Linked DNA regions of Xenopus tropicalis. Each later gene encodes a partner of the first gene's protein in a complex. Links are inferred from orthologs where the notes say so. Each region holds a gene or a part of one and is shown on either strand. Other genes may lie near its edges. The genes, in order: nsun4 and mterf4.

Region 1 (15,144 bases):
GAGGTCAGTGGATCAGTGTTATGCTATTAAAGGGGAAGGTCACATTAGAATTTAGTTTTTATGATGTATATGTTGGTATACCAATTAACCTTCTCTTTCTCTGTGCATATTAAAGTGTCCCCCTTTTTTTTTTTTTTTGGTTCTCTTGTAGGTAGCTCATAAAGTCTTCAAGAACCTAAAGTAATGTTTTAATTAAGAATTCTCATGAGTGACTTGTTTGCTGAGCTGAATGGTCATTGGCTGTGAATCATTATCCTATGGATTGTGACTCCTTGATCCTGCTTTCAGTACAGTGCTATTCTCCACACCATGGCTAATATTTTGTGGGATAGATGCCTATAAGTAAATATCTACAGCAATGTTGTGACTGTTAATAAAGCTATTTGGTGTTGAGTCAATTTTATTCTCTTATTTCTGCTTTGCTTACTTAAAAAAAAAAATGAAATCATTCTATTAAACTCAACTACAGTATATTGGCTACTGAAGCTATGATAAATTAATCTTCTGATCAACAGATATAAGCCTAAACAGTTTGCAACCAAATTAAAGTAGAAAGGGATAACAAACAGCAGACCAGAAAAAGTTGTCTTCTGATTGGTTGCTGTGGGTTATTAGTTTTTATTATGTTAGTAGCAACTTCTGAATTGGGCTAAGACCTAAAAGAAAAATCCCTTTAGATCTTACATATGACACAATCAAGCTTGATATACAGACCTTTCTTCTCGGTAAACAGTTTAAAGGGCTACCCAAGTTGACGCTGAAATGAATCAATCATGTCTGACTAGTACAAATCTTCATTGTGTTTAAGTGAAAGACCAACATTATTCCCTCTTGGGTAGAGAGTGATGATAAAATTGAGGGTAACCAAAAATTTGAATGCAGTATCGCCCTTCAACTCAATATTGTTGAGTACTTAAAGGTCTGGACAGCTTGGAAAACACACCACCTTCAGATTTACTCATCTCCAACTGCTAGCCCCACTATACTACTGATGTACGCAGCACTTATACCTGCAGTACACTAAGGTCCATCCTATTAAGGTCCATCCTATTAGGTTTTTTATGAAAAACTAAAGGGTGAAACCAGGCTTGACATATTTAAAGAGAAGTCAAACATGACTTCTCTTTAAATATGTCAAGCCTGGTTTCACCCTTTAGTTTTTCATATGAATACTCTCATTACTCTCATCAATGTTTTAAGTTGTACAATAACCATATATTGGCAGCACCACGTACAGCCCACACTTTTGACCTATATATATATATATAATATGTGTGTGTGTTATTTCTTGACTCCTACTGTCACCAATTAATGCACATGTTCCAGATCTCAACTTGACAGTAACTCTATATAAGGATTGTAATTAATGTGGTGCTTATGTGCACAGACTGATGGGTACATTACCTGCATGGTGGAATGCGCAACAATCCACTGCATGACAAAGCAAGCACAGACAATGGTGTGTAAGGCCACTAGGCCTTAACAGAATGGAAAATAGTACAGAATTGCACTTTTTGCTCACAGACACATGTATGTACTGGTGTGTTGCTATGGCTATTATATATTGGTTTTTTCCAGCTAGCCTTTGTAAGGACAAACCAAAGAACCCATGCAGAAAAGTCTTCCTTAAAGTTTGCTTTATAGGAAAACTATAAAGCACAAACAGTAATGTTACACCCTAATGGCGTTTGTGAAAAAGTTGGGCAGCTGTTTCAAACAAAGGCCCTGTGTCATTAACTTACTGAACCTAAATGCAGGAACGGTATCGTGAGACGTTATAACATACTGACTTTTAACACTAAGGGGCTGATTTACTAAGACACGAATTCGAATCCGAATTGGAAAAATTCCGATTGAAAAACGAGCATTTTGCGACTTTTTCGTATTTTTTGCAATTTTTTCGGCGCCTTTACAACTTTTCGGAAATTATCGCGACTTTTTCGTTACCAATACGATTTGCGCGAAAAAACGCGAGTTTTTCGTAGCCATTACGACTTGCGCGAAAAAATGCGAGTTTTTCGTAGCCATTCCGAAAGTTGCGCAAAATCTGGCGATTTTTTCGTAGCGTTAAAACTTACCCGAAAAGTCGCGCCTTTTTCATAGCGTTAAAACTTAAAAGGCGCGACGTTTCGCGCAAGTTTTAACTCTCGTATTGGTAACGAAAAAGTCGCGATAATTTCCGAAAAAAACGCAAAATACCGATCATTACGAAAAAAACGCAATCGGACGCATTCGGCCCGTTCGTGGGTTAGTAAATGTGCCCCCTATAGTTAGATTGAGTAGTTCATCTTTAAACTAACTTTCAGTATAATGTCAGGGTTGGACTGAGGTGTGCAGAGCCTATTGGGCTTCCATTCCAGGGGTCCCCACTGCCCACCCAACGCTCTACCCTCCAGTGTGTGTGTACTTTATTTTGTTATATCTTTGGCCCGATCAGGGGTGGGAGCTCAGCAGGGGGAGTGGCAATGGGGATCGGGTCTGGGTCAGCTTTTTCCCACCAGGACAATCCAACCCTGCATAATGCAGAGAGTGCTATTTTTATCAAATTTGCAATTTGTCTTCTTTATCATTTGCAGTTTGAATTATTTAGCTTTTTCTTTGGAAGCTCTCCAGTTTGGAATTTTAGCAGCTATATGGTTGCTAGGGTCCAATTTAACTTAGCAACGAAGCAGTGGTTTAAAATTGAGACAGGAATATAAATAGGAGGAGAGCCTACATAGAATGATAAGTAATAAAAAGTAACAGCGACAATAAAATTGTAGCCTGGCAGAGCTATCATTTATTAGCTGCCAGGGTCAGTGGCCCCCATTTGAATGCTAGAAAAAGTCAGAAAAGCAAATAATTCAAAAACTATTATAAATGAAGGCCAATTGAAAAATTGATAAGAATAGGTCATTTGGTAACATATTAAGTTAACCAGAAGGTAAACCACCCCTTTTAGTTAATGGGTCCTAAGCTGCGCTATCGCCATTGTTTAATAACCACTTTGCTCTACACTTCCAAAGTTGGCAGCCCTCTCTGGTACGTTTCTCTCAGCATTACAAATGCTAAACGTAGTAATCTAGGTAATCCTGCTCTATGCGAACAATAAATCTCTCTGTTTAGCGGACTGAACATTCTAAGCGTGGGTACTGAAATTAGTCCACTGACGGGTACTCGCATAAAACCAAAAAAATGGCTTGCACAAGCAAGGAATCAGTGAAAGCCTGGCATGCTGATTTGTTACAATATTATCATCTCCCACGGTGGGCAAGGATACATTCTATTAACAGCGCCAGAGCTGCTCGGCAACAGTAACATGCCTGGGTAGCTAGAGCTCACCGATAGGTTACTGTTGACGGAACAAAATGCGTTCCTGCATTGTGTCAGGGCGGAAGGGCTTTTTTGGTGCACAGCAACATGGCAGCCTGCAGGGGATTTTTATTGAGGAGGATCAATGACTCGTGTCTGACCTTTCGTAGACATAAATTCAAGAAAAAATGGGTAAGGGCTTTATGACCTTGGCAAAAGTTTCATATTTGAGAAAACAGATCTAACAAGACGTAGTTTGCTCCCCCATTCAACCTTCTAACATCAGCATTTCAGCACCACCGTGTCTGTCCATCATAAAACCTCGTAGAGAGCTCTTACCAGACTAGTAATTGTACATGCATAACGGTGCTCTTGATTATGTTTTGCTGTAATGACATTGGCTGATTATTGAGATTTCTGCACAGTGTTTGTATAGCCAGCAAGTCTCTAAGGTGTAATGCTATAGCTCAGGGTTCTCTTTTAAGGATCTGGTATTTTTATGTTGTAGTTCAGCAAGAACAGCATGATAGAGGGCCACATTTTTGTTATCCATAAAGTATAAGAATATAGTAGTTTGTATTTAGGTACTTTCAGGACTTCAATAGCAGATATACTGCAGCAATATATTTTATTTAATATATTTGCTTTTTTCTTTGTTACTGTTGTTTCTTGTAGAACTAAACAATTGGGGATGTGCTGAATGCACTATTTTGTGATCTGTCAAAACCCAGAATCATTTGTGAAAGATTTTACTAAAAACCAAATCGAATCTGAATCCTAAGTCTGTTTTTATGTGACAAAAAGTAATGTGATTTTGAGGATTCAGATTCGGTTCGGCCAGGTATATTATTATGGCTGTATCCAAAATTAGTCAGCACAAATAGTTTCTATTATGGGGGTGCAACATTAGAATACCATACGGGCAAGGTTCAGAGTGCCAAAAAGTGCATATTCTCCACCTGATATATATATATATATATTTTTTTTTTTTTACTTTATATGTGCCACATAATAATTGGTCTTATAAAGTGAGTCCTGTTGCAGCTAACACAGCATATATGTGCATGTGTGTTGTGTGAATTATTTATCAAAAGAAATGTTTTAACCAGTAACATACTTTTAAAAAAAGTGTCCAGGATACTCCCATGATCTGATGTTCTAGGAAGAGCACTTGCTGCTGTCTGCTGAGAGGTATATTTGCTGTGTCTAGCACTCACTAGTGGCCAAATAGGTTTATTGCATGTAGCAACTTAGCTTCCTGACACTGTCAATATCCTTAATCTCTGGCTATTGTCAGTTCTTCTTAATTTTAATCCACGGTTTATATTGGACTCCAGTAGCTACACAGGGAAATAGAGAAGTGTTTTAAACAGCTAATATTTGCTCAACTGAAATTAATAAAGGGCAAACTTATTTAATTTTGGTTGTTGAACTTTTTGTTTATGTTTATAAGGCCATCCAGTAGCCCTGCTTTTGCTTTCTCTATATTGAATTGTGTTTCTTTTTCAAACTTTAAGGCAACAACCCTTCCAAAAATTCCATGTTCAAGGCTTGCTTTGCAATATTTCGACATGAATTACAGCATGCAGTTTGGAGATCTATGGCCTTCAATTCGTATTAGTCTTCTCACAGAACAAAAGTATGGGGCTCTTGTCAATAATTTCTCACATAAGGAGACCGTATTGAAAAATCTCAGTGCTTTTAATGCAAAAGACTTTATCTCTGAGGCTCAACATGTGATATCATTATTGCAAATACAAAACAATTTGGACACCTCAGAAAAAATGACATCAGGTGAAGCATCTCTGAATCTGGTTGGACAGAAAAATAATGCAGAGAAAACTCAAGCAACAAACCTGCTTTCATCTCTTTCTAATACAAAACTCACATGTTTCAAATTTTCCAGGGGTGATATAAGTCGTTTTCCTCAATCAAGGTAATTTATTTTGTATTTCATTCACTGATTTTTTTAAGTACCATTATATAGCATTTATTTTATGTGGTTAAAATGTACCTTATACTTGCTTTGACTTTGAAAGCTTGTGAAATATTGTTTTTTTTTTGTTTGCTGTAATAACTTGCTTTTGTTTCAGGTCAGACAGCTTTGGACTCCTGGAGTATTACTTAATGGATGCCGCCTCACTATTGCCTGTTTTGGCTCTTGATGTACAGCATGGTCATAGTGTTCTTGATCTTTGTGCAGCGCCTGGAGGAAAGACTTTGGCGCTTTTACAAACTGAAAATTGCCGTATGTAACCACTTGCAATATACTGTATGTATGTGTATCACTGTGTAACAGTGATCCCCAACCAGTGGCTCAGAAGCAACATCTTGCTCACCAACCCCTTGGATGTTGCACCCAGTGGCCTCAAAGCAGGTGCTTATTTTTAAATTCCTGGCTAAAATGCAATCTTTATTTGCATCAAAACCATAAGTAGTACCAGACAAAGCCTTCTATATGGTATAAGTTCATATAGAAGCTACCTATAGCCAATCACAGCCCATTTTTTGCACCCCCGGGAACCTTTTGCAAGTTTGTGTTGCTCTCCAACTCTTTTACGCTTGAATGTGGCTCAGGAGTAAAAAAAGGTTGGGGACTCTTGGTGTAATATATAAGTTCTTTTTTTAAATAAAAACAATAATAATTCTTCTGTATTTAGGTATAAGAACAAACATTTATGTGCTTTATGAAGTATGTATGTATATCTTTATTTATAAAGCACTACTTGTGTACGCAGCGCTATGTATTATCAATATATGCCTTTTAGATATTTTAGTTTCTTTTGACATTTGTTTCCATTGTACTCTTATTCAACAGAATATCTTGCTGCCAATGACTTGTCTACTTCCCGAAGTAGCCGTCTCCACAGAGTTTTGCGTAGTTATGTTCCTAGAGCCCAGCGTACAGAGCATAAAGTGTGCATCACGTCGCAGGATGGAAGGCTGTGGGGAGATGCGGAGGCTAACACATATGACAGGGTCAGTTTGTTGCAAATTTAAAGGTTATATTAGTATTTGGATTATTACCAAGATTAAAGTGAATATAAACCTAAAATGTATGTCAATTTACTCAGAGAACACTAGTGCAATTAATTTAATAATCTTTTGCTATTCCCTTCTAAGTTTGCCCGACTAAATTAAAATTAGTTTTGTTTCAAATCAGGCAGGGTCTCTCTCTTTTTTATTATTTACCTGATGGCACTGGGGAGTTGTTTGCATCTGGGGCAGCTTTGACCCATTTCTTGTCACTGAGACTCATTACTGGTGAGTGTTGTATTGGGTCACTGTATGGATTGTGTGTAGGTTTGATTTGGTGTGATTTCAAACATTGATGGCAGGATCTTTTAGCCACTTTTTTAGATTGTGATGTCTGAGTTATAGTGGTTCAGGAATACAATATATAATCCATCATTCTACGTGTGTTATAACCCAGTAGTGCAATTGTTTACTGACTTTTTTCTCCCTTGGGAGTTTGATCCACCTTACCAGGTAACCCTGTGCTGTTTTGATAATTTTAATATATTTTATTTTTTCAAGTTTTCTGTTATTACACCTACTCATGGTGTGCATTATAGTTAGGTTCTTATAAATAAGATCTTGCACACCTTCTTTGATTAATTTTAGGCTTTGACATTGTGGTGGTGCTCCCCTTTGCAGTAATTGTATAATACTAAACTAAAATTAGCTGTCCCCAACCAAGACTCCATTTCCCATAATGCCTTACATTCTTTTTTTCAACTATTTTGTGAATCAGAGTCCTCAAGAGTCAATTTAAATAAAGCTCCACAGTGAAAATATATTTAGATTGGTGCTATCATTATCAGAAAATGCTTTTACAGCTACCATCCTCATGTATCTCTTATGTATCTCTTAGTGAGACAACACAATGAAAGTCTTTCTTCTTAGGGAAGTCACATAAAGGGGCAGATTCATGAAATCACGAGTTTGAGTCCCGAATGGGATAAATTCGGATTGGATACGAAAATTTCTGAAGATCGCAAATATCATGAAAATGCTTATGAAAAAAGTCATGATAATATCGTATTGGTGATCACGAAAGTCACGAAATTTTTGTACCGAACGTTTGTAAACAGCGGGAAAACCTTTCCAATTTTTTTGCGCAAGTGTATCAAAAAGTTGCACAGTCATGGAAAAAGTCGCCTAAGCGACGAAAAATTTGTCGAAAATACGCTTGGAGCATTCGAATCTTAGTAAATCTGACCCAAAGTCTTGGTTCCGCTTCTTTCTGCCTGTGTTTTATTGGCAGGTGGAGAAAAGTGGATCTGCTCTTTTCCACAGCTCTGTGCCGTTGCACTGACAGGCAGAGCGGTGGATAGCGGAGTTGAGATGAGATCAGTCTGAGAAACATGAATGTGGGCATTTTCGGGGTCAATCTCCATTTAGGCTGAAGCTGTTCCTGTCAATGCAGCTACACAGAGTTGTAGGGGAGAGAAGCGGAGCCAATGCTTTGTGTGACTTTGCCCTTATGATATGCTTTTAAGATCCTTACCTTGCCGTAATATTAATTTTTGTTGTTTTAATGTTTAAAAGAACAGATGAATGTGTAAAAATGAAACTGCGTAGATAGACCGCACAAAATAAAAAATGTTTTCAATACAGTTAGTTTGCCGAAAATTTAATCTATAAAGGCTGGAGTGAATGGATGTATAACATAATACAGAACACTACTTCATCCTTTACAGCTCTCTGAGCTGTTAGCAGTCAGTAACCATTCAGTGACTTAGGGGGGGCCTTATGGGACATATCTGTTTAGTTAGTTTGCTTTTGAATCTGATCTGTCTGCTCACAAACTAACTGAACAGTTTTGTCCCACGTTGCCCCCCCCCAAAGTCACTGACTAAATAAGACATCCATTCACTCCAGTCTTTATAGATTACATTTTTGCCTAACTATATTAGAAAATGTTTTATTTCACACACAATTTTGCCCAATTTATTTTTACTCTGAATTGTTCCTTTGAACTTGACAAAACATAAACTTGGCTTTTTTACCCTGAGAGCTAAATTATCATGGAATGGATTATGTTGGTTTTTTTTTATTTTTTAAGATTAATAAACGTAGGAATTTTAGTATTTTTATTAACACAGAATCACCCTTTCTCCATCTGCTTGATTACCCACATAAATCAGTTGTGTGGAAAAAGAAAAGAGCAGGTTCATCTAAAATGCTTAAAACCAAAACATTATGCTTAATTGAAGTAAGGTTATCTTTTATTTTTTTTTAATTGATGAAAACATTCTGTGATTACATTTAATTCTTTGGTTTGGAAAGGTCCTGTATGGTCATCTCATATGCTTTGATGCAGTTTGTTGTATAATTTATTTATTTTATTAATGGTGTGACTTATGGATACTTGCTTATGTTGGCTGTATAGGTCTTAGTGGATGTCCCTTGTACCACTGACCGCCATTCCCTTTTAGAAGAAGAAAACAACATCTTCCATCGTATAAGGACTAAGCAGCGCCAGATGTTGCCATTGTTACAAGCAGAACTGCTTGTGTAAGTAATTCGGCATTATTACATTTTGATTGCACTAATTTTTTAAGAACAATATACCTTAAAATAAAATCATAGAATTCATTTACTTCTGCTCTTTATGTGTAATGTACCAGTTGTCTTCTTGAAAACAATAACAAGCTCTATGTTTTCCCCCAGGGCTGGGCTACGTGCTGTGAGGCCGGGTGGAGAAGTGGTGTACTCCACCTGTTCTTTGTCACAGTTGCAGAATGAATGTGTTGTGGAGAGGGCAGTTGAGCTTGCAGCTTCTGATCATGGAGTCCATGTTAAACCCCAGGACCTTAGCTGCTTCAGGGAAGTTTTCAAGAACACTTTTAACTTTTTTCAAGGGTGCCGTGTAGGAGAATTAGTCCTTCCTCATCTCACAGCAAATTTTGGACCCATGTTCTTCTGTAAACTTTTAAGAATTGAATAAAAACTAAAAAGATTACTGAATTGAAGATATGTTTATACCTTAATTCACCTCTGTAAGTGTTCTCAACTCAACGTTGCAAATCATGGAATACAGATATAGTGGTATGAACAGTGGCGCATAGGATGTTCTTGGAAATTTGTTTTTTTTTTTTTTTTTAATATGTTTACATATTCTGGCAGTTATGAGGACAACTCAATTTCTATTTTAATAAAAAAAAATGTTAGAAATTTTGTTTGCTATATTTAATTTCTTAAGAAAGTGGAACAAACAAAATTTGTATGGGGGGGGGGAAGCATTTTGTGTTGCTTATTGCATTTTCTGCTTTTTTTTTTTCCTCCAAAACATTGAATTGTACATTGAATGGTTAAATGAAAATGCACAGGCCAGATATGCTAGATGATCCCTGGTAACAAAAGCAGAGTGCCATGCCATGAACAAGTAGAGTTCTATGCCACACCTGTGTACTAGTCCCCATTTCCACCAAGAATACATATGGAACATTTGCTGCTATGAAATAAGGCTTAAAGGAGAAGGAAAGGCATTTTGACATTATTCTGCAGAAAGCTTTATCATACCTAAGTAAAGAGCCCTAAAAGCTCCCTCTGTTTGTTTAAGATAGCAGCTGTAGTTTTAGCTTAGTCTCAGTAGCTTCCGTGCTGAGTTGGGAGAGGGAGCAAATTCTAATGGAAGGATGAGTGAATTCTTATGGGAGGGGGAGAGGGGAGCAAACTGAGAGTAAGAAGTCTGACATAGAAGAACATGTGTACACAAAAGAAGAAAATAATAAATCCTGTGTTTCTTTTAAAAGATGACTCAGTGCAGCATTTCTGTGAGTGCTTATGGCTGTATTTAAGCTGTGATACAGCTTAATTAGTTTTTAATCTTTCCTTCTCCTTTAACTCCTAGTACATTGCTGGGTGTCTCAGCCTGAGGACTAATTTATAATATGATCTGGGGAGAACACCAATTTGCTCTCCTAAAAGACTAGCTTCAAGTTCAGTTCAATTGAGATTGTGGTGAAGCTTATTTTCGGTCCTATGTGATCTTAAATATATGGTTTAATGGCTGCTACTGAAGTGTTTTCATATATAAGTTGCCAAACAAGTAGATCTCGGTTAACTGATTGTTCAAACAATCAAATTAAAATGATGGGAATAGGACCACATCAATGGGCCAATGTGGCCCCCGATCCTATGAGAAAATCAAACCTGCCCAATCGACATCTGGACAATTTTAGGCCAGATATTGGTTGGGTAGGCCTGTTGGGGGTCCCCATACACTGGGGAATTGGTCCGAATCTGCAATTTATATCTGCCTGTGTATAAGTGTCAATGCAGGAACCAAGTGTAATCATTTCCGCTGCCTGTTCCAGTGGTGTGAGATCGACAAAACGCACCCTAGGAGTAGGATGTAGTTGCATGGGTCAAACTATAATAGAAATGATACAAAAATCTGAGGTGTAAACTACATGAAAGATTTGCCATCCGATGTGACACACTGATGGAAGAGCCTGCTGTGGCTTTATCCAACAAGATAAAATCTGACAGTGTCTGACAAGACTTATTGGGCCCGATTCACTAAAGTCTGAAATAAGGAGTGCTATTTATAGCATGCGTTAAAAATCTTATCACTTCTTATTTTTCGCTCGATTCACTAAAAGGACACTTGTCATAATTAAGAAGCAATGTTCTTGGCGTTATTTATCTTGCGACTACATATTTTCAAGCAATATATTACGCAGCGCACAACATATTACGCAGCACGTTGCTTGAAAATATATCGTTGCAAGATAAATAACACCAAGAACATCGCTTCTTAATTATGACAAGTGTCCTTTTAGTGAATCGAGCGAAAAATAAGAAGTGATAAGATTTTTAACGCATGCTATAAATAGCACTCCTTATTTCGGACTTTAGTGAATCGGGCCCATTTTCTCTTTGAAATACATTGACTGTTGAAGGTAGATACAGGAACAAAACCCACCACCCGACTTTACATTACAGCTGTGAAGATCAGATTTTGTAGAATCCTAGACAATCTTGTGCTGTTCTGTGGCTTTGTATGATCATATACAATCTCAATCTTGTCAAAATTTCCCATGGATTTCAGCCCTAATACATCATTTTTTTTTTTTATCTATGAGATTAAACTTATAGTTACATTTCAGATGACCATTACAGAGCTGCACCAAGCAGTGGATAGAGATTATTACTGTTTGTGTGGGACAGTTGCTTTCCTTTTTTATTTTTATTATTCAGTGTGCCTCTTTGTCAGTGTGTATTTGTGTGTCTGTCACCATGGGTGTTACAAATGATTTTCAGGTATGCACCTTTTATACCCCTACTATGGAAGGGGAGATGTTCCTAAATAATTTGCAAAGTATGTTCATACACTATTAAAGGGGTTGTAAACCTAACCATAACATGGCCCCACTGCGCCTCCTAGTTTTACTTTAGAAGTTGTCCAAAAACATAATTATAGATGCAAGAAAATTCACCACTGAGCATTCTACTGACCAAAAATCTCATTATAAGATCAAAAGAATTGACCAATAAGAATGCTGATTCCCAGCACTATGTCAGACATCTTGCTGTTAATCTTACATACAGAGATAATTATGTCTTTTTGTTTCTTCATTATATGACAATGGAATCGGACATGCGGTTAAAGGACATATACCGTATATACTCGAATATAAGCCGAGTTTTTCAGCACTAAAAATGTGCTCAAAAAGTAACCCTCGGCTTATACTCGAGTATATGGTACGGATGTGATAACTGTGCTTGATCTGCCGATGTGCCCCCCCCCCAGACGGACTTGTGTCCGTGCGTACCTGCGCTCTCGTGCACCCGCGCTCTCCCTATGCCAGCTTCCCAGAACCGCCATCCTGCTACCTGTGCGTGCTTCTCCTGTGCACGCTTCTGCTCTGCTTGGCGTCGCTGATCTTACAAGGTCTAAGATGAGGCCACGAGTAACTGAAGGGGGTGCGTGACGTCACTGGCGCGACTGCGGCGCCAAGCAGAGCAGAAGCACGCACAGGTAGGAGGTCTGTATGAGCTTATCTGCCGAAATGCAGAAGCAGCTTCTTAAATTCTTCAAGGTTGCACGGGGAAACTGTTTTACTGTTTACTGATTATTCCTACATAAATATGAAAAACACATATTTCTCACTGATATAATTGTTGAATCTGGCCATATCTATACAATTCAACTTTTCCAAATAATCTCTATAGTATTTTATCAGAGGATTCAATGAAGTATTTACTTTTATCAAGTAATGACATACTGTAATAGTGGTTAGCCCTATATATAAAAATAGTAATGGTCTGCATGTGATCTATACTCACTTCACTAATTGAGGTTTTGCCATAAAGCTATATAACTCATTCCCCCCCTCCTATCCTTTCCTTTCTGGTCCTGGTCTGTGTTGCAAATGAGCAGATTAGCCTTAAATAGCTAAAAATATTGATCTGCAGATTGGTACATTGCCCCCTTAGCTCCCACAATCATTGCATCTCATTAGTTTCTCTATTTATATATCTTATTTGCATATTTCTGGGAAGCTGGCATAGGCAGAGAGCGGGACTTTAAGTCGCTTGGCAGTAGCTGAAGGGCAACCAATTGGGGAAACAAATATAAAAGCGTCATGTGCAAAATTGGTAAGTTGCCATTTGTATCCCACAATGAAACCTTTTTTACTCACAACTGCTCCTTTTCTGCACCTGCCACAAGTCACAACAAAAGCTGATACGAACAAGTCATACTGGAGTACAGGCCCAATGTTTGCCCTGTCTGTGTTACTTAAGGTCCATACAAGTCATTTTGGTTGTTACAAGCTGAGGCATGGGCATTTATATCAAGCTATATATATAAAGTAGTGATAAGAATTCAATATATTCCTGGTATTAACAATGTAAATGCTATAATGCTGAGTAAGGGATTATCTAAATGTTCCGTCCTGCTTTCGTCTGTCCTGTTTTATGCCTGTTCCAACTTGCTCCTACCTGTCCCGCACTTGTCAGGCCAGTTGGTCCTGTTCTTTGCCTTTTCCAGTCTCTCCTGATCTTTGCCCACTCCACCTTGTCTAGTCCCTTTCTTGGGCCACCACTGTCTAAAACACTCTATACCCTATATATATTTCTTAGGCTAGACAGGGGGCAATTTTTGGGATAAACCAAAGTGTGAGCACACTTTGTGTGCTGGCTCGCTCGCACCAGCCCTACTGGTGACACCCTAGGCTTATACTCGAGTCAATAGGTTTTTCCACTTTTCTTAGGTAAAATTAGGTACCTCGGCTTATATACTCGAGTATATACGGTAGTGATATCTGTGTGATAAGAAAACTGTGCTTAATGCGTCCAAACCAAGGTTTGGGGAAAAGTTTTATTATGCAATATTACTTTAAGAATACAACCCTAATGTTACTGGACTATAGCTCAACCCTCATTATGTTAAATGGTTCTGGGATTTGTAGTCCAGAACAGCTGGGTAAGTTTTGTTGAGCAGTGCTGTACAGGTTTTAGTACCCCTTTAAAGGTGGCCATACACGTGGCGATCTGACGATGTTTCGTGCGACCATCGGTCGCACGAAACATCGTCAGATGTGCCACACACCATTCAGGGCTGAATCGGCAGGTAAGGAGGTAGAAACAATAGGATTTCTACCTCCTTCTGCCGATTCAGCTCTGAAGGGAGATTTTGATCAGGCGCCTTCTATGGCGCCCGATCGAAATTTTCCAACTGGTCCGATCGGCAAGTCGGCCGATATCAGCAGGTTCCTGGCCACCTTAAAGGAATACTGACATTTTCCTATGGAAATCCAAAGGAACGTGTCCGTATTATTAAGTGGCTGCAGCATGAAAAGCTTTTCAAGTAAAGGTCCCCCACAGCCACCCCCTAGCCCAGCAGTACCTGCTTCTCTTAAAGGGGACCAATAGCAGAAAGAGCTGCCTTGTTTTCCTGTGTCATGCAGGATTGGGGTTGGCGTGATCCTTCCATAGGATAATTACAAATGGAAACAGTACTCCGGCCTATGGAAAGATTGCGCCGCCCTTAAACCAGCGTGACGAACACAACTGCAGAGGATCTTTTCACTCTGTTGGAGTGTCACTCGAGTAAGTACGGCTCAGCTGTGGGTGCCTTTGGGACTTTTCACAAGCTAGATTTTTATACTGCAACTGTTTAGTAATACTGACATTTTCCTATGGATTTTAATAGGAATGTCAGTGTCCCTTTAAATGTGTTTTGACAAATTAACTTTTCACTCCTGCTTAATCCTAGTATTGGTTACTGGCCTCCCCTTTGCCATAGAGTACAAAGACTTGTGTTTGGACTTTGGCACTTTAAACTCATCTATGAGAAAAAAAACAAACAAAACTGTCTTTATCTCTTTGCCTGCTCCTGCAGTCTGTTCTTTAGCAAAAGCTAGATGGCATTGGTGTAACTATAAAGGGGTGTAGACCACAGGGGCGGCGGGGTCTGGAATATACTTTTGTTTTTCTATACTACTTACAAGCCATAGCCTCTGTGCATTATCCTATGCTCTTGGAACTGAAAATGAACAACTGCAGAGGTCCTGAAAATTCATGATAGGGTTAACATTCTCAAACTACACTGAAGTCGATGGGTTTTTTTTTTTCCTGTGACATTTTCACTGCTAATTTTTGCAGCACATTCATTCATTCAAAATATTTGCTGATATTTTGCCTCTAATCAACACCTGGTGAAAGGTGGGAGTGATGTCACGCGCTACAGCACACCATGGCGCAAACCCAGCAGCACCCCCAAGGTTACCAGGGGCTGCAAAAAGCCATTCCTGGTAACTTTAAGCAGGGGCGGGCCAAGCCAACCGGGCGCCCTAGGCAACCCGGTCGGCCAACTCCGCCCACCTCCCCGCCCCC
Region 2 (15,802 bases), on another chromosome or scaffold:
TCACAGGTTTGGCAAAGGTCCCTTGAAAACGCTGCAGCCAGTGCCAATGAATAAAGGACAATTCTGTCCACTAAGCTGAAAATCCTTCCTGCAAGGAAACACTGACCCGCTTTGTGCTGTTGCCCATAATAATACTAATGAGGTGTATTGCACCAACTGTTGTTTAGATGCCCATTTATGTGCCAATAATATTACTGCTGTAGATGTGGGCAGCCAGTAGATGCAATAGTAGCACAGGTTCCCTTGCAGAAGCACTGTTGTTGTTTGAGAGCCACAAGATCACTATGAATGGATCAATACCTGAAGAACCTTGCTTGGTGATGTATTTTATAGTTGATCAATATTTAGTAAACTGACCAACACTCTAAGCAGCACCTAGGGTTTTATCTTCAAAAAGAAGCAACTAGCTGTGGCTATTTACTAATGAGGTTTGTGTGTTGTGCCTCAGCTAAGGTAAGCAATATGGCAGCTCCCAACATTGTTTCTAGAATGACATGCTTTCTCTGGCATGTGCAGCTCAGGAACATGTGAGCATGCTACAATGTATATAGAGTAGGATACAAATGATGTCTGTGTATCTCATTCAGTAGAAGTTGACTTCTTCCCTTTTAACGTGAACCTTTCCAGGAGAACGACTGGGCTGCCTGGAGACCCCGTGTCTTAATGGAGGGACCTGTGTGAATGGAGACACTTGTGACTGTCCTCTGGGATTTAAAGGGCAGCAATGCCAGTTGGGTATGTAACCGTAACCTGACTTCTTTTATTACTTTATTAGTGGTTGGGTTAGCAAAACTTTATTAAGCCCAAAAGACTGCTTTCAGTAGCAATAGTAATTGAAAGCAGTATACATTTATCTCTGGTTCTGACTCTTGAAACAATATGACTACATATTCCTTTAAAAGTAGAGCTGTTGATAATGGTCAATGATCCCCACCATAGACTTTGAACTGCCATTTACAGTTATTTTCTATTTGTATTTAATAAAAGTGAACAGATTTCAGAATGCAGGACTTAGATATGGGGGCACTGGCAAATGTTACAGAATATAAAGGTGATATTTAGTGTATCATGGCTACAGGAGAAAAGACAAAGCTCTCTATTACTAATAGTATTGGGCAGTCACTCAGATGGGGTCTGGAAGGAGTTATACAGCAGCTCGGCAATTTGTTCCAGAAGATTTATATGTTCAATAGGGGATGAGCCTGGGAATATCTCAGGGGAGAGCGTGAGTCATTGCGCTGTGCTGGTGTGTGTGGCGCAGCTTGTTTATTGCAGGAGATCTGCTGCTGATAATACAGATGTGTGTTGTGGGGCCGTAGCCAATTGGCTGGGGGGGTAACACGTTTCTTCTTCAGCCTGCAGAAAGGAGACCTTTTCCTGCACAAGACTGATTTCTGAGACAACATCACACCCAGTGTGGGAGGGAGGAATCTGCCACCACCTGTAAGTATTTATTGCTACATTCTAGGGAAAATATACTCTAAACAGGGTTTGGATTTTCTGCCATAAACAGCAATTGGCCACATTTAATTTTGGTGCCTTGGGGACAAATGCCACACGTGACTCTGTGGATTCAGGGCCATTATTAGTTACCTCATTACTGGTATAAGGAATGGCACTAAAATGGTTTTATTCTCGCTTCCTACAGCTGTACTGCCATCATGGCTGCCCTGAACAGAGGAAAGAATGATGGGGGGGGGGGGTACAAGCTGTGCAATCAAGCTCTTCTATAAATGTATTTTATAGTGACATTTGAGCTTGTTTACAAATAATTCTGCCATGCTACTAACCCATGCCATGTCTGTGTGCAGGTACAGAAGAGTTTACAAGGTACAGAATGATGTGTGCAGCAGGGAGGTTTGTGAAGGTACCAGCAGAAGCAGAGCAAGTGAGTGGACTCTTTTGGTTACAATTACAGGTATGGGATCCCTTATCCGGAAACCCCTTATCCAGAAAGTTCCAAATTACGGAAAGGCCGTCCCCCATAGACTCCATTATAAGTAAATAATTCTAACTTTTAAAAATGAATTGCGTTTTCTCTGTAATAATAAAACAGAACCTTGTACTTGATCCCAACTAAGATATAATGAATCCTTATTGGGGACCAAACAAGCCTATTGGGTTTAATAGTTAAATGATTTTTAGCAGACATGAGTTATGGAGATCCAAATTACGGAAAGATCCCTTATCTGGAAAACCCCAGGTCCCGAGCATTCTGGATAACAGGTCCCGTACCTGTATTAGGTTAGGCCACAAGTCTGCAAAGCCAAGGGAAGCCCACTTGATGAATGTAAGTAACAAGCTGAAATCAAGTCTTGGGGACCCTCACTGATACACAGAGGCACTGCCTTTGGCTGCCGGCAATAAGAATTACCTTAAAGTTTAAGCCTCCCCCCCCCACACAGACAGCTTTGATTTAGCTGAAAGGATGGATGTTTCCTCCAATTAATTAAATAAATTGCTATAGGTTTCCCCTATAACCAGGGGACAATCGCTGACTCAGAAATGTTTTTTCTTTCTAGAAAGCAGAATCCCTTCCAAGCCCTGAACAGCTGAAACTGTAAGTGATACAAACACCCAAATATATTGTTTCCTTTTGTGTGTGTACTGGCACTGCGTGGCACAGGCAGATTACAGGGCATGGCAGAGCACTATGTACTGCTACTTTAATTGTCTTTTTTTTCTTTGCAGGTTTAAAAGCACTGAATTTTGCAGGGGGGGAAGGTCTTAATCATCACACTGCCCCAAGGGGGACACTAAGCTTGTCTCCACCTTCCCAATATTCAGAGACTCTGTGGCCTCTCTCTTATTGTGCAGTGGCATTGCCAGTACTGGCCTTGTGGCACTAGCCTTTGCATCCCTGCGGAGCAGCCCTCCTTCACATCCTCCTCTAAGGGTTCAGAAGAGCAGCATTCCCTCCTCTCCCTGGACAAAGATCTTACTTCTCATAATTCTGATGGAAGATCTGGAGACAATTGTTTTTTATGGACATACGGAGCATGGTTTGGCTCTGTTATTGAATGCACACCTTGTATCAGATCCTAAACAGCAACAAACATGTCAAGTGTAAGCAGCTGCAATCCAGTCCCGTCTGTACAGCATTGGTACAGACTACTACTACTACTAGAGCCAAGGACCTGCAGCACGAGATACCCCAGTTCAGGGGCCCCAAAGCACAGAGCTGTATGACACACACTGCCTGAAAGCCCTACAGTATGTACCACAGAACCTCACTACATTAGAGTAGCTGCTTAATTAGCCCCTTATCTCAGTGTGTCACGGATGCGCGGTATTCTCCAGCTTATTAACCATCTAAAACTGGTCCCTTCCTGCACCAGTATGGTGACAGGGTTATTCCATTCAGCATTCCCATGTCCACAGGAGCTTGGTGGTACTATGTCCATCTCAAGTCTATAACATAATGTACATGGACAGCTGCTACACCTTTAGGTTATAGCGTGGACTGGATGGTTCTATGTAATTACAGCATCAGGGTGCTTTAGATTGTCAGCTCTCTGTAAGAAATGTTCCCAGTAATGACACAAGCATAGAAACAACAGCCCTAAAACTGAAAGGCACTGGGTCTGGAACTCATTCCCTTGTACTTCCTGCTACTTTGTTAGTCCCTACCACTAATGTCAACTTCACCTGTGCAGTCAGCATTGTACGGTGGCCCATGAGGACAAAGCACAAACTGGGAGGCCAATACCAAATCAGCCAGAACCCAAGTGCCAGACCTGTAGAGCGGGCTTAGAGTGCTGTAAGTTTGCAATCACTGAGCTGCCCTAAACAAAGGTACATTATATTCACATACATTGCAGGTTACAGAGTCTACCTTATGTTATTATTCTTGCATTCTCCTTAGATTCACCACTGATCTCACTGCAAGAAGGGGTTAATAAACCAAATGGATTGGTATTAATCCAGTAGGTGCCCACACACAGTATCACTTCAGGAGCCCCAGGGATTTCAGATCTCTAGTTTAGCAGTGAGATCTCCTATCATACGGAGTGCTTACAGCAAGGCAGGGCGAGGCGCAAATTATTTTTAAATTCACAGCAAATTAGGTTGCGCCTCCAGGTGAGGTGATGACAATACATGTGGCTGAGCTTTCAGCTATTTTAGTGTGGTTGTCCAGGCGACTAAGTTTTCTAATAAAACATTTTATTAAAAAAGTGGAATCCTGTGTTTACTTGCAGTATTATAACTGGAGTTATTATAGATCTACATTCTCTATGTGCAAATAGACAAATAATGAATGGCCACACACATTTCTGTGTCATTGAGGGCCCATGTCAAAGTATTTACGATACTTATGGAACTTTAGCAGAATGACTATTTCTGCCATGGTTTGAGCCGTAGTGGGCTCGAGCATATGTTGACCAATAAAAAAAATGGTTTAAACCTCTGCCACCATATACACACATACTGGAACTCTGACAAGTGTCCCTGCTTTTCAAAGAGCCTTGTTCTCTACTTTATACAGTACTACAGCGGCGAGACAAGGGCAGGCTGAGGCTGATGAATTTGGTTGAAGAAAGAAAGTGGCCCCTAACAGAGCCTAATATGGGCCCTACAGGGCTGCATCAACCTGTTAATGCCTGATGGGATTTTCTAACCTGCCTGATGGAGGTCAAGCTGATTTTCAGCCAGATATCAGTTGGGTAGCCTTCCAGGAGGCCCCATACACTGGACAATAAGTTGCTACATATGGCCACCTTAAGTCAGACAAAGTTCCTGCTGAAGGAGGTGCACTTTGTATTACATAAGAACAAATATAGCAAATATGAATCAAGGAAAAAAGAAACTAAACATTTAATAAGTTGCAACAAGGCAGCCCATTCTTTAAATGGACAGCAATATGGAGGTCCTTTATGGTCTCACAGGTCTATTAGCTGATCTCTTCTTCTGCTTCCTTTTATAATTACTCAGTCTCTTGTGTGTTTCATCTTCTGTTTCTCCACTTTTATCCCCAGAGTGTTCACTGTCTGTATCCTCTCCCTCTGTGCCACTGTCTAAGTGGTCCCTTCCTGCCTCACTGTCCTTACGTTCTCCAGCCTCCAGCTCCTCTCGTGCAAATATTTTGCGGAAAGTGTGCAGTTCCTCAGGAGAAACCCGAGCAACATGTGCCAAAAAGTCACTGTCTGAAAGTGCCGTGACCTCCTTAAGCTTGGGGTTAGAGGGTGGGGAGACCCCCTTTTTATCAGGGGGTAGGAATCTTCCCAAGCGCTCCAGAAACTGATGCCGAACCCTGATTTCATCCAGTGATGTCTGGAATAGGCCAGATGTTATAATGTCTTTGTGGCTTGCACCCATCCGGAAATATACATACTGCAAAGGTAAAGTGTAAGGTGGTCAGGCCTACATGTTTTAAGACAGATATGACATTCCCCTTGATTCTCAGAGGGGCATCCTGGCCATGAAAACGCCCTTGGTAACATTCCTTATACAATATGTAATAAATAAAAGATAGACTTTGAACATATTTTTCTAACCCAACAACAAACCCAAGCAACAAAAAATGGGAAAGGATTGGGATTTGGCATATTGCAAGCAAGTACCCAAGGATGATGTGGGTTTGTTTATTTTTTGTTTATAGAGAAGGTGCACAGGCCAGGGGCAGAATGGTACCCTACCTGATACAGCAGGGGGCTTTAGCCTAAAGAATATGATAGCTAAACTACCCTTTCCCTTATAACATGGAGTATCACAGCTCAAAAATGGATCTTTCAAAGTGAAGGCTTTTTTTGCATTTCAGCTAAATTACATGCCATGTTTAAATATTACAGGGACAAATGCAGATTATTTATCTGAGGGTTGGCAGCCCTATATCCATTCAGTTGTAAGCACTCGTTTAAGAAACATGAAACTGCATGAAATCCATGTTAGCCAGCGAGCCAGTCAGTTCCACAGGATATTGTGTAATAGCAGCAGTGCCTCTGTGTTGCCAATATATTCCTATCCTGAGAGGAGGCAGTATCTTGGTTTTGCATGCATCAGTACCTATTATATTCATTGATAGTTTTGTTAATCACCTGAAAAGCCTCTTCGAGGTAGCTGGGGTCATATGTCAGGGCTTCTGGGGAGAATCGAAGGATATCAGTCAGCTGCAGAGCTGAGAATTGACATCGCTGTCTGAGGCATTTGGCAGCTGCCAGGACATGGGAACGAGGAAGCGAGAGAAGAGCCGGGCATCTGGAGAGTGATCGCTGCAGGAACCCTTTTAGAAAAAAAAAAACAGCAAAATAAAATGTGATAAATGGTTTTGTATCATACAGATCTCTACAGGCTGCCTGTATAATGTGCTTTCAGTGTATTGGTCACAGGGCCCCTGGGGTGGGGTGAATGGGAGATATTAAGTCACAGAAACAATATGAAACTTTAAGAAAGTGAAGGGTATCTACTTTGTTACTGATAGAAGAGAAAAAGTCTTAAGTATAAAAGAACTATACTAGAGCAGCAGCTCCCTCTACTGGTAGAACAAACTTAGTGCAGCAACAAAGACAAAATAAAATAGAAGTTATGGTAACTAGAGGTCACATTTAGAAACAGTGTACATATGATAAGGTTTCAAGCGATTGAAGCCTATGAAAACAACGTTACACACATGTTGGAAGCCATAGCTGTTCTTTTATTCTGTGGTGGAAATTCAACCATTTCACTGCAAAATGGCAAATCAATTAACACAAGCAGCAAATGGCTTGGTAGAAGGGTTGGAAAGGAACACCATTACCTTCCCCCAGCCCCAGGCTACGAAGATTCTCAGTTCTATCTCGGAGTTCTCTTACAGTTGCTTTTCGCAGCTCTTTACTGTCCTCCAACATCTTGAGTGCGGCCTGCGGCTTTAGTCCAATGAGCAGCAATTCCTTGGTACAGGACACTGTGTGCCATGGGTCACCTCTCCTGGGTTTCAGAGCGAGGATTCTTCCTGATTGCTCCTCATTAAAGCCTAAATCTAGAAGTTCCTGGACGGCAACAGGAAGACTGGACGAGGACAGGTAGCGGAAGCCTAAGATGGAACTGGGCATAAAGCAGCGACGGGGAAAATAGGAGACCTAGGGTGGAAACACAGTTATATCAGTAAATAAAAAGGCAGCTATTATATATTGTGTTTGGAAACAGCTCCCACTGGGAATACAGAAAAAAGGCAAGAAGGCGGCTTCATTACACGGACACAAGAAGGGAAACCATTGAATTGGTTACCTTATGGCTAAAGCTGGCCATACATGGGCAGATACATCCTGCTGATTTGGCCCCATTCAGGCCTATTAATCAGCTTATCTGGCTGTGTATGGGCTTTGTGTGCCTGCCTCCTTGGCAGATATATGGCGGCAACAAGGCAACAGCTAGAAGCAATATTAGGCCAAAAAATACCAGGCCATGCCATAGGGGATACTGAGAATTACTTCTGCTGAAACACTCATGTCTTCATATGCATTTTTGGTGCAATGGTGCAATTTGAATGTTTTATCAGAGGTGATTCTAAGTATTTTTTGACACCAAGGCTGACGAAACAGCTCCAGGTATAGGCACAGGGAATTACTGATGCCAGAGTAGGGGCTGATTCTTGGCCTGTATTTATCCACAGACCATGACCGAGAATCATACGTGTGGCTTTACCCTAAAGGTCTGTCCATTAATGGGGCCCTCTGATGGGCCTCCCCAACCAATATCTGGCTAAAAACTGGCATTGGCTCATTGGTTTGGTCCTCGCTCCGATGATTCCTATTCCTGTCCTAGAGCCAAATGATGGAATTAGCCCAATATCACCTTAGGTGGGCATATCAGGAGAAGGATCCCCTCTTTTGGCAAACTCTCCAAACAAGAGAATCTTATGGTATATGGTATATTTCTCTTATTAAAGGGTAATTCCAGCTCTTAATATTCTGAGAGTGTTATTCCAATCCCAAGTGCCAGGAAATGTACCGGGACATATGTAATATTACTGGGAAACATGCAAAACTTTAATTCTAGTACCGTGGTTTTAGCCACAAATTCCCAAACTGTGGAAAGCGTAACTGTGTCTGGCGCAAAGCTGCAATCAAGTTTACATGGTTCTGATAATAGCGCCATCTGGGCACAACTTGTACCTGGGATGTAACACCGGCACACCGTAGAGCTCAATAAATAAAACATACATATTACAAGGCCCTGTCGCCTGTATGTTTGAGCAGTGTATCAGTTGCACAGGCCCAGGGTTACACAGACAGTGCAGTTACTGCCCCAGGCTGGGGGGGGGGGGTCTCTGCACTAACAGCCCCAGTGAGGAGCACCCAACCCAGAGAGGAGCACCCATCCCAGAGAGGAGCACCCAACCCAGAGAGGAGCACCCATCCCAGAGAGGAGCACCCAACCCAGAGAGGAGCAGCCAACCCAGAGAGGAGCAGCCAACCCAGAGAGGAGCAGCCAACCCAGAGAGGAGCAGCCTCTCACTTACACACCCTTTAACTTATTCGTTCTGTTATATGGAACAGGACATGGAGTTACCAGAGGGGGCGCTTTCCATAATCTGGGTCACTATAGTAGTTACATTTGCTTAAATAGGACTTTATACAAAACGACTAATGTACTTCCCGCTTCCTGCATACTAGCTCCCATAGCCCAATACACACTGTACCCCAGAGGGAAATAGAGACAGTGTATAACTATAAGGAACAAGCACAGAAAAACCTGCTGCCACTGCAACTGTGCCTGGCATTTTAATGAAGCAGAAAGCGGTGTTAGTGTTGTTGCTACAGAGCAGGGGCAGGGTGACACAGAAGGAAGAGAAGCCCAGGCGAACTCACCATGTTCCTCCTCTACCCTTCCGCCTGGGACGCTCAAGCAGCCGCATCAAAGCGCCTCAGTGATGTCATCAGCATGTGACCGAGGGAGGGCGGGGTTAGAGGCAAGGTGCGTCACGTGATAGCTTCCCCTAAACAGGGGGAGAGGAGGTGCAGGGAGGAAGTAGAGAGTTGAGTGAAGGTGGGTATCTGGGGGCACAGGGGAATGTTATTGGGCTGCGGGCATTCACTCACAGCTGGGGAGTCACAGGGCAGTGGCTTTCAGCTAGGGATGTATGTATTCAGGCTATTTAGCACTCTGGGTTGTGTTCAGCTTCTGTTGTCTCTAGTGTATTCTGTATATGCATTATATAGTCAGTCCCTAAGCTCAGGGAAGTGCCAGCAGCACAGAGATGTGCAGGGAATCAGCAGAAAAGGGGGGGCTACTGGGGCATCTTTGGGGGCACAGATCTTCCCTGCTGTGTCTGTGGGTTTCCTCCTGTTACTTCTGTTTTCTCCCATCACTCCAAACACATACAGGCAGGTTAACTGGCTTCTGACTAAACTGACCATGGTTTGTGTGAATGTGACCTTAGACAGTAAGCTCCCCTAGGGCAGGGTCTGATGGGAATTATAAGTAATCTCTGTAAAGTGCTGCAGAAATGTGTTATGTGCTTTATAAATAACAGGAAGTAAATACAAAATAAAGAAATAACACATTGTCATTAGGTTAATTTGTCGTTGAGCTGTAGTTCTACTTTAATGCCTACAACTCTTCAGTTTGCCTATTAAGGTGAGGGGAGTAGTGCCACAAATGTATTGAGGGGTCACCAATGGATATTTTCCCTGGTCCCGCCATTATTTGTGTTAGAGCTTCCCGGTTTTATACTGATATTTATAGTCCTGGGACCCACTGGGGGAAGCAGATTATTTGCTTTAGTTCTGCTGAGAGCATCATATTTAAAGGGGAAGGAAAGTAAGCTTTATCAGAAAGGTCTATGTAAATACAGCCATAAGCACTCACAGAAACGCTGCACTGACTTCTCTTATCAAAAGAAACTTACAGGATTTCTTGTCTCCTTTTTTGTAAACATGTTCTTAGGGTATCTGACTTCCTCTCTCAGAAAAATCCTTCATTCCCAGGGACAGAGTCTGTGCAGCTCTCTCCCCTCCCATAAGAATTCATATAGCTCACTCCCCCCACCCTTAGGAATTTGTAATCTGAGATACCAATGGCTAGACTGCAAGCAGGAAGCAATGAAGACCAAGCTAAAATGGCAGCTGCTATCCTAAGCAAAGCTTCTAAGGCTTCTAGGTATAGTAAAGCTTCCTGCAGAATAAATGTAGTGTTCAAGGTGGCACTAATGTGGTGAATCTATTGGCAGTAAAATGCCAAAATGACTTTCCTTCTCCTTTAACTTATAATTAACAGAGCATTCAGTTGTTTAAGCTAAAAAGTGTAATTATAAATACAGGCAAGCAAAATACTGTTTATTATGTATTGTGATAATAAGGTTTTGTCTTTACAGATTAAAATAACATACAGAAGAGTGCAGCTATGGCAGAAGTGAGTATGTCATTCATCAGGCTGTTATTTATATATATATATATATATATATTTAATTATATAGCCCCCCTTGTGATTCAGCGCTATACAGCAGCAGCACATTAATCAGTACAATAAACAGAAATAAATACAAAGTGCTGTGTCAAATGAAGGTCTCTGCGCTATTGAGTTTATAAGTGGGCAGGTAACAATTAATTTGGAGAATAATAAATGCTGCAGTTTACAATGGTTGTCACTGCATCGAGAATTATCATGTATTTATTAAGTTCCACAGCACTGTACAATAAATGGGCATATACAGTGTAGTGCATGGAACATAGAGATTTACATACAAATAAGCCATTAACTCATCCAAGCGGTAAAAATGGCCTTGCCCAAAAGAGCATACAGTCTGAAAGGATTCCACATTCTTCCAAACAAAAGGATGCAGATATTATTTACTTGGTATGTAAATGTACATAGGAGCTGATTTCCTAGGCATGTCTTTTTTTTTTTTTTTTTAGCAGCCATTTTGAAAACCCTGGCCCAATATAATAAGAATACTTAGGAAGTCAGATTGACTGGCACTTGCATCGTTGAAGGCAGCAACTTGTGCAGCATGTCCTAAGTGAGCTGGGGGCTGACCTGTATGCCAGTGACTTTATATGTAATGTCAGTATCCCTTTAAAAGCTCTAAGCCCCCCATAAAAGTATTTTATTTCAGGCCAGTTTATGAGTTGTTAATGTACTATACATTTTGAGATGCACTACTCCATTTTCTCTCTAATCATTATTGGATGTAGCAGCTCCTAGCATAGCCTGGCTGCTGATGGAAGAGTAATACCAAGAGTGATACAGCACCATAGGGTAGGGATGGCACCCGTAGATAGCGGTCTGTTCTGTAGATAAGGTTTAGGAGCTAGAGATGATATGAAAGCTTTGCTATGGTTTACAGAATTTAGATTACTATATTTGTATAACTGTTCCATTCCCTTCCTAACTAGGAATTACGGAGATTCCTGTACAAGAAGTTAACAAGGTAGGTTACTCCTTAATAATAATAATTTATTACTTACATAAATTAAAACATCTGGGTTATTTTACTGGACTGTGATAAAATATTAAATAAAAATGCAGAATTTAAATGGATTGTTTACAGCCCAGAAGTGAGTTGGTCCCTCAGCCAATCAGTCCCTCAGATCAATGGCTTTGATCTTCTCTGCACCTCAGTAATTGGTCTGGTTGTTGGACTGATAGTAGACTTGAAAGGCTTCCTGTGATTGGATGGAAGGTTAATCTAATTACAGATACATTAGATGCTTGGCTGTAATTGAGGGAGTGAGGGTCCAGCAGTAAGTTGGTGCAACACAACTATTTGTAACTCCTCTTTTTGTAGTGTTGATGAACTCCACGCTATTGTTGTGTCAGACAGAGATGGGGTGCCGGTTATTAAAGGTAAGGTTCTGCGCACTCACTGACTTTGCATGTGTTCTTTGCCACGTTTGTGCATTGTCTAACAGGCTATATAGTCAGGCTTATATTTAGAAATATCAGAATTACATATGGGAATATCATCCATTGCTATAGTGAAGCCAATCCATAATCAACCTGCAACTCTCTACAACTCCCAGCACCTGCTGTAGTAGTGTCACATCCTACATCCCTGGTTAGACAGTGGTTCACTAACTAAACCGCCATGCAACTTAGTGCGACTATCTCAATGAATGTATGTATATCTTTATTTATAAAGCGCTATTTATGTACTTAGCGCTGTACAGTAGAATACATTAATACAAACAGGGGGTTATTAAGATAATAATAGATAAATACAAAGTATAACAATAAACACAAATAAATACAAGATACAGTTGCAGCAAGTTAAGAGTCAAAGACACAAGAGGATGTAGGTCCCTGCCTCGTAGAGCTTACAATCTATATGAGAGACACAAATAGGCAAATACAGTATAAGTGCTGTAGGTCACAGTGAGTGACACTACAATAAAAGTGCTATTTCCCAGATCAGGTGCTGGGTGAGTGCTACAAAAGGTAGTCTTTTAGTTTGGTTTTAAAAAGACTGAGGGAGTATACTCTCCGGAGGAAATCAGGGAGGGGATTCCAAGTGTAAATGCATTAGGCTGCACCTAGGTTCTGGTTCTCCATGATGCTTCATTTGCTTCCATATTTATAGCATATCTGTAGCAACACTTTATATGGTAAATATGTTCTTATTTGATTTGTATATGTTATTATAAGAGTGGCCCATTTTTCTGCCAGATTCTAGCTTTGCTTGTGACTTTCTGCTCTCTGTTCATCCCATTTCAGTTGCCAATGAGAATGCCCCTGAGCATGCATTGAGACCGGCTTTCCTTTCTACATTTGCACTAGCTACAGACCAGGGAAGCAAGCTTGGCCTCTCCAAAAACAAGAGCATCATCTGTTACTACAGCACATACCAGGTAATTGCAGGTTTTCATCACATCTAGGCCAGACTACAGTCACTTTAACAAGATACCTGCCCAATAGTGATATGCGGTAGAGTCCTGCATGGGTCCCATGCCTAACCCTAACCTGAACCCGCAACCTGCACCAACAAGGGGTTTACTTATCACCCACAACGCCAGATTTCAAATGACGGTGCCCAGAGGCCGCTGCAATTCCCCTCCCCCACTCAGGGCCGCGCACATGCGCATCCATTTAGCTCGCGTACAGAGCACTGGGCTGAAGTTTTTTTGCACGTCCTGTCCCCAGTCCTCCGTATGTGAGCAAAGTTTAAGTGCAGATGGGCGGCGTGCCGCCCTAGGCCTGGGCCTCGCAACAAATCTGGGCCTGATCTGACCTGTGAGCCCGAAAGTCATGTCACTTAGAAGGTGGATCAACCAGCTAAAGGGAAAAAATTCCTTAATCATTAGGGGTGGGTGAGAGGGCTTAGACCCACAGCTGAACTGATACCCAGACAGGATACATGCCGACTGCCTTGCCGGTTGGTGAATTGGGAACGTCCTACCTGAGACCTGAACACTTAACGGATATTCTGCAGGTCTTTACTGTGCGGGTTGACAAAAAGTTGACCTTCACCCAACTTCAACCTTAACCTGGCGAGTTTGGTATTTATAGATCCACCTCTTTCTGACATCATTAAATGGGCGAAATACACAGGTGCAAATCTATAAATAGTGATATCTGGAGGCAGAAGCAGGGCATGGTAAGAACAGGTGAGTGTTGGATACAAAATATTTAATTCCCCTTGCACAAGGGGCACATACGTTTATGCATGAAAGGCATAAACCGCTACATTTTGATAATATCCAACACAGAATCTGATGTGCGCCTAATTATTCCGATTCCTTCTTTTGTGTTTTATAGGTTGTCCAGTTTAATCAGCTGCCTCTGGTAGTAAGCTTCATAGCAAGCTGCAATGCCAATACAGGTAAATGTGCGCATATCTTGCTACATATGCCCAAGCAAGGGCTTTCGGGGTGCATCCAATTTTGTAAGATGAGTTCTTAAAACCATTTAAACTTTATAACAAGTGTTTAGTTTTACCAGGTCTGGTGACCCACAGCAACCAACCATATGCTAGCTTGACTGCTAATTGGTTAGTATAGGTTGCAAGCACCAGAGCAACGTTTTTACCTATTATTATACTGCCCCTCATTCCCTAAATGCCGAAACAGTGGCTGCAATAATCAAAAGAAACCAATCAAATGTTATCTTTCTGAATTCTAATGGCACTGTAGCAAATGGTCATGGAAAATATTCTGTTAGCAAATTTAGCCAGCCACGGCTGCTTTTTATTAACTCAAATGGCAGAACTTAAGTCAGCAATGGTTTCTGCCCAAAAAATGCTCCCAAGGTGTTTTCCAGTTGAACAGTGTCAGTACCAGTGTCACAAATCTCCCATTTAAGTGAACTGGAGGCAACAGTGAGTTTGTTCTGCTTGCTAAACCCTGCCCACTGTGCCATAGTGCAAACCTAGCCCCCCTCTAAATATTTTCATTTTGATTTTTACAGGCCTAATTCTCAGCTTAGAGAAAGAACTCGGCTCCTTGTTCAAAGAGCTTCGCCAGGTGGTGGAGATCTCATGATGCAGGCAATTGGATTATGGAGTCATGTAACACTTTTTTGGGACTTCAAGTAGAAAACCAAGATGGGGAAAAAAAAATATATAATTTTGTAAATGCCACCCATTTTCAGTATTTCCATGATTATAAAATAATTTTTCCCTTTAAGCTGAGAGGTACAAGGCTTTGTTAGTGCAAGTACAATCCTCTTCAGCCAGCACCTCATGCTTTATCTGTATGAATAGCACGAGGCCCTTAGTTGCCTCTTGCTAATAAAGCAAACTCATTTACAGAAACCTTCAGAACACTGTCTGTTATTGTGTTCAGCTTTATGAAACTGAGAATACCTTTGGCTATATTGCTGAATTTTTTTTAAGTCACTTTCTCAAAACGCTAACAAACTTGAACCGCCCAGAAAGCTGCCATCATGTGTATGGTACCCTCCATTGAACAGTGGCACAATCTGTGTAGTCCCTTCAGCTAATGGCTCAGTGCCTGTAGGACATCAGTAATCAGCAGCAAGTGACAAGAATGGCATTTCATTTGTCTGGATCAGATCAGTTCTAATATGCCACATGTTCCATTGTACACAATCCTTTAACACACAGGCTTAAGTTTTATTTTGCATAAGGTATAAAAACCTCATCTAAAGTCTTGCAGGTTACACTAATTTTACACTAAAGTTAGGCAAAAATGTAATCTATAAAGGGCTGGAGTGAGCAGATGTCTAACATAATAGCCAAAACACCACTTCCTGCTTTCAGCTCTCTAAAGGCCCCCATACACGGGCCGATAGAAGCTGCCGATATCGGTCCCTTGGACTGACTCGGCAGCTTATCTGCCCGTGTAGGGGCAGAAACAAGTGGGCTGGCCGACCGATATCTGGCCTGAAATTGGCCAGATATCGATAGGCCAGGTTAAAAGATTCAGTCGGATCGGGGGCCGCATCGGCTCATTGATGCGGTCCCCGAACCGACTGCCCCATTGCCGCCTACATAATCCATTTGGCTCCCCCTCAAGTCACTAAATGGTCTGAATGAATATAGAATTAAACACAAAGGCAAAAATGATACAACAAAAGTACTTTGTATATTTAAATACATTTTTAAATTTATACATTTAAGCACTATCCAAAAATTCATAAAAACAGGCACAGTTTTAGTGTGTAAAGAGAAGAACTACAGAAGGAGATAGAGTACACTCAGAGACACACTGAGGTACTAGAGGCACCCAACACAAATTCCCAGTTACAAACATTTCACCTGGGGGGGGCTGGTAAGTGCTTGCTAAACCACATAGAGCATTATTGTAACTGATAATGAGCAAGTTAGTTTCTAGGGGTGAATAACAATAAATGAAATCTTAAACAGAAAGAAATGAAGGTGGTAGATGGGCTGAGATCATGGAGTATAGGCCCCCCCCAGGCCAAACAG

What was found.
Region 2: the proteins of nsun4 (region 1) and mterf4 are in contact, whole or in part, in a crystal structure (PDB 4FP9), measured with the Homo sapiens proteins. The link is inferred for Xenopus tropicalis from reciprocal best matches to the Homo sapiens genes NSUN4 and MTERF4. Residues at the interface, in NP_950245.2 of Homo sapiens: Pro61, Ser62, Arg64, Val65, Leu68, Ser69, Glu70, Arg136, Gly137, Asp138, Ile139, Arg141, Asn367, Leu368, Met369; in NP_872307.2 of Homo sapiens: Tyr267, Glu269, Arg270, Leu271, Gly272, Arg273, Glu311, Glu312, Val315, Phe316, Lys318, Leu319, Arg322, Glu323, Glu326.

The regions. Positions count from the first base shown.
Region 1 is NC_030680.2:93,251,573-93,266,716, forward strand, and holds nsun4 (5-methylcytosine rRNA methyltransferase NSUN4), read left to right. Parts: upstream 1-3,379; 5' UTR 3,380-3,399; coding exon 3,400-3,483; intron 3,484-4,808; coding exon 4,809-5,227; intron 5,228-5,384; coding exon 5,385-5,539; intron 5,540-6,109; coding exon 6,110-6,270; intron 6,271-8,686; coding exon 8,687-8,811; intron 8,812-8,967; coding exon 8,968-9,244; 3' UTR 9,245-9,471; downstream 9,472-15,144. Other genes in the region: uqcrh (cytochrome b-c1 complex subunit 6, mitochondrial), read left to right, coding at 152-184. UniProt on the Homo sapiens protein: Mitochondrial RNA cytosine C(5)-methyltransferase that methylates cytosine to 5-methylcytosine (m5C) in various RNAs, such as rRNAs, mRNAs and some long non-coding RNAs (lncRNAs).
Region 2 is NC_030681.2:125,977,011-125,992,812, reverse strand, and holds mterf4 (transcription termination factor 4, mitochondrial), read right to left. Parts: upstream 8,875-15,802; 5' UTR 8,790-8,874; coding exon 8,787-8,789; intron 7,056-8,786; coding exon 6,734-7,055; intron 6,221-6,733; coding exon 6,036-6,220; intron 5,332-6,035; coding exon 4,873-5,331; 3' UTR 4,746-4,872; downstream 1-4,745. Other genes in the region: sned1 (sushi, nidogen and EGF-like domain-containing protein 1), read left to right, coding at 628-735, 1,356-1,443, 1,812-1,918, 2,523-2,548. UniProt on the Homo sapiens protein: Regulator of mitochondrial ribosome biogenesis and translation. Binds to mitochondrial ribosomal RNAs 16S, 12S and 7S and targets NSUN4 RNA methyltransferase to the mitochondrial large ribosomal subunit (39S).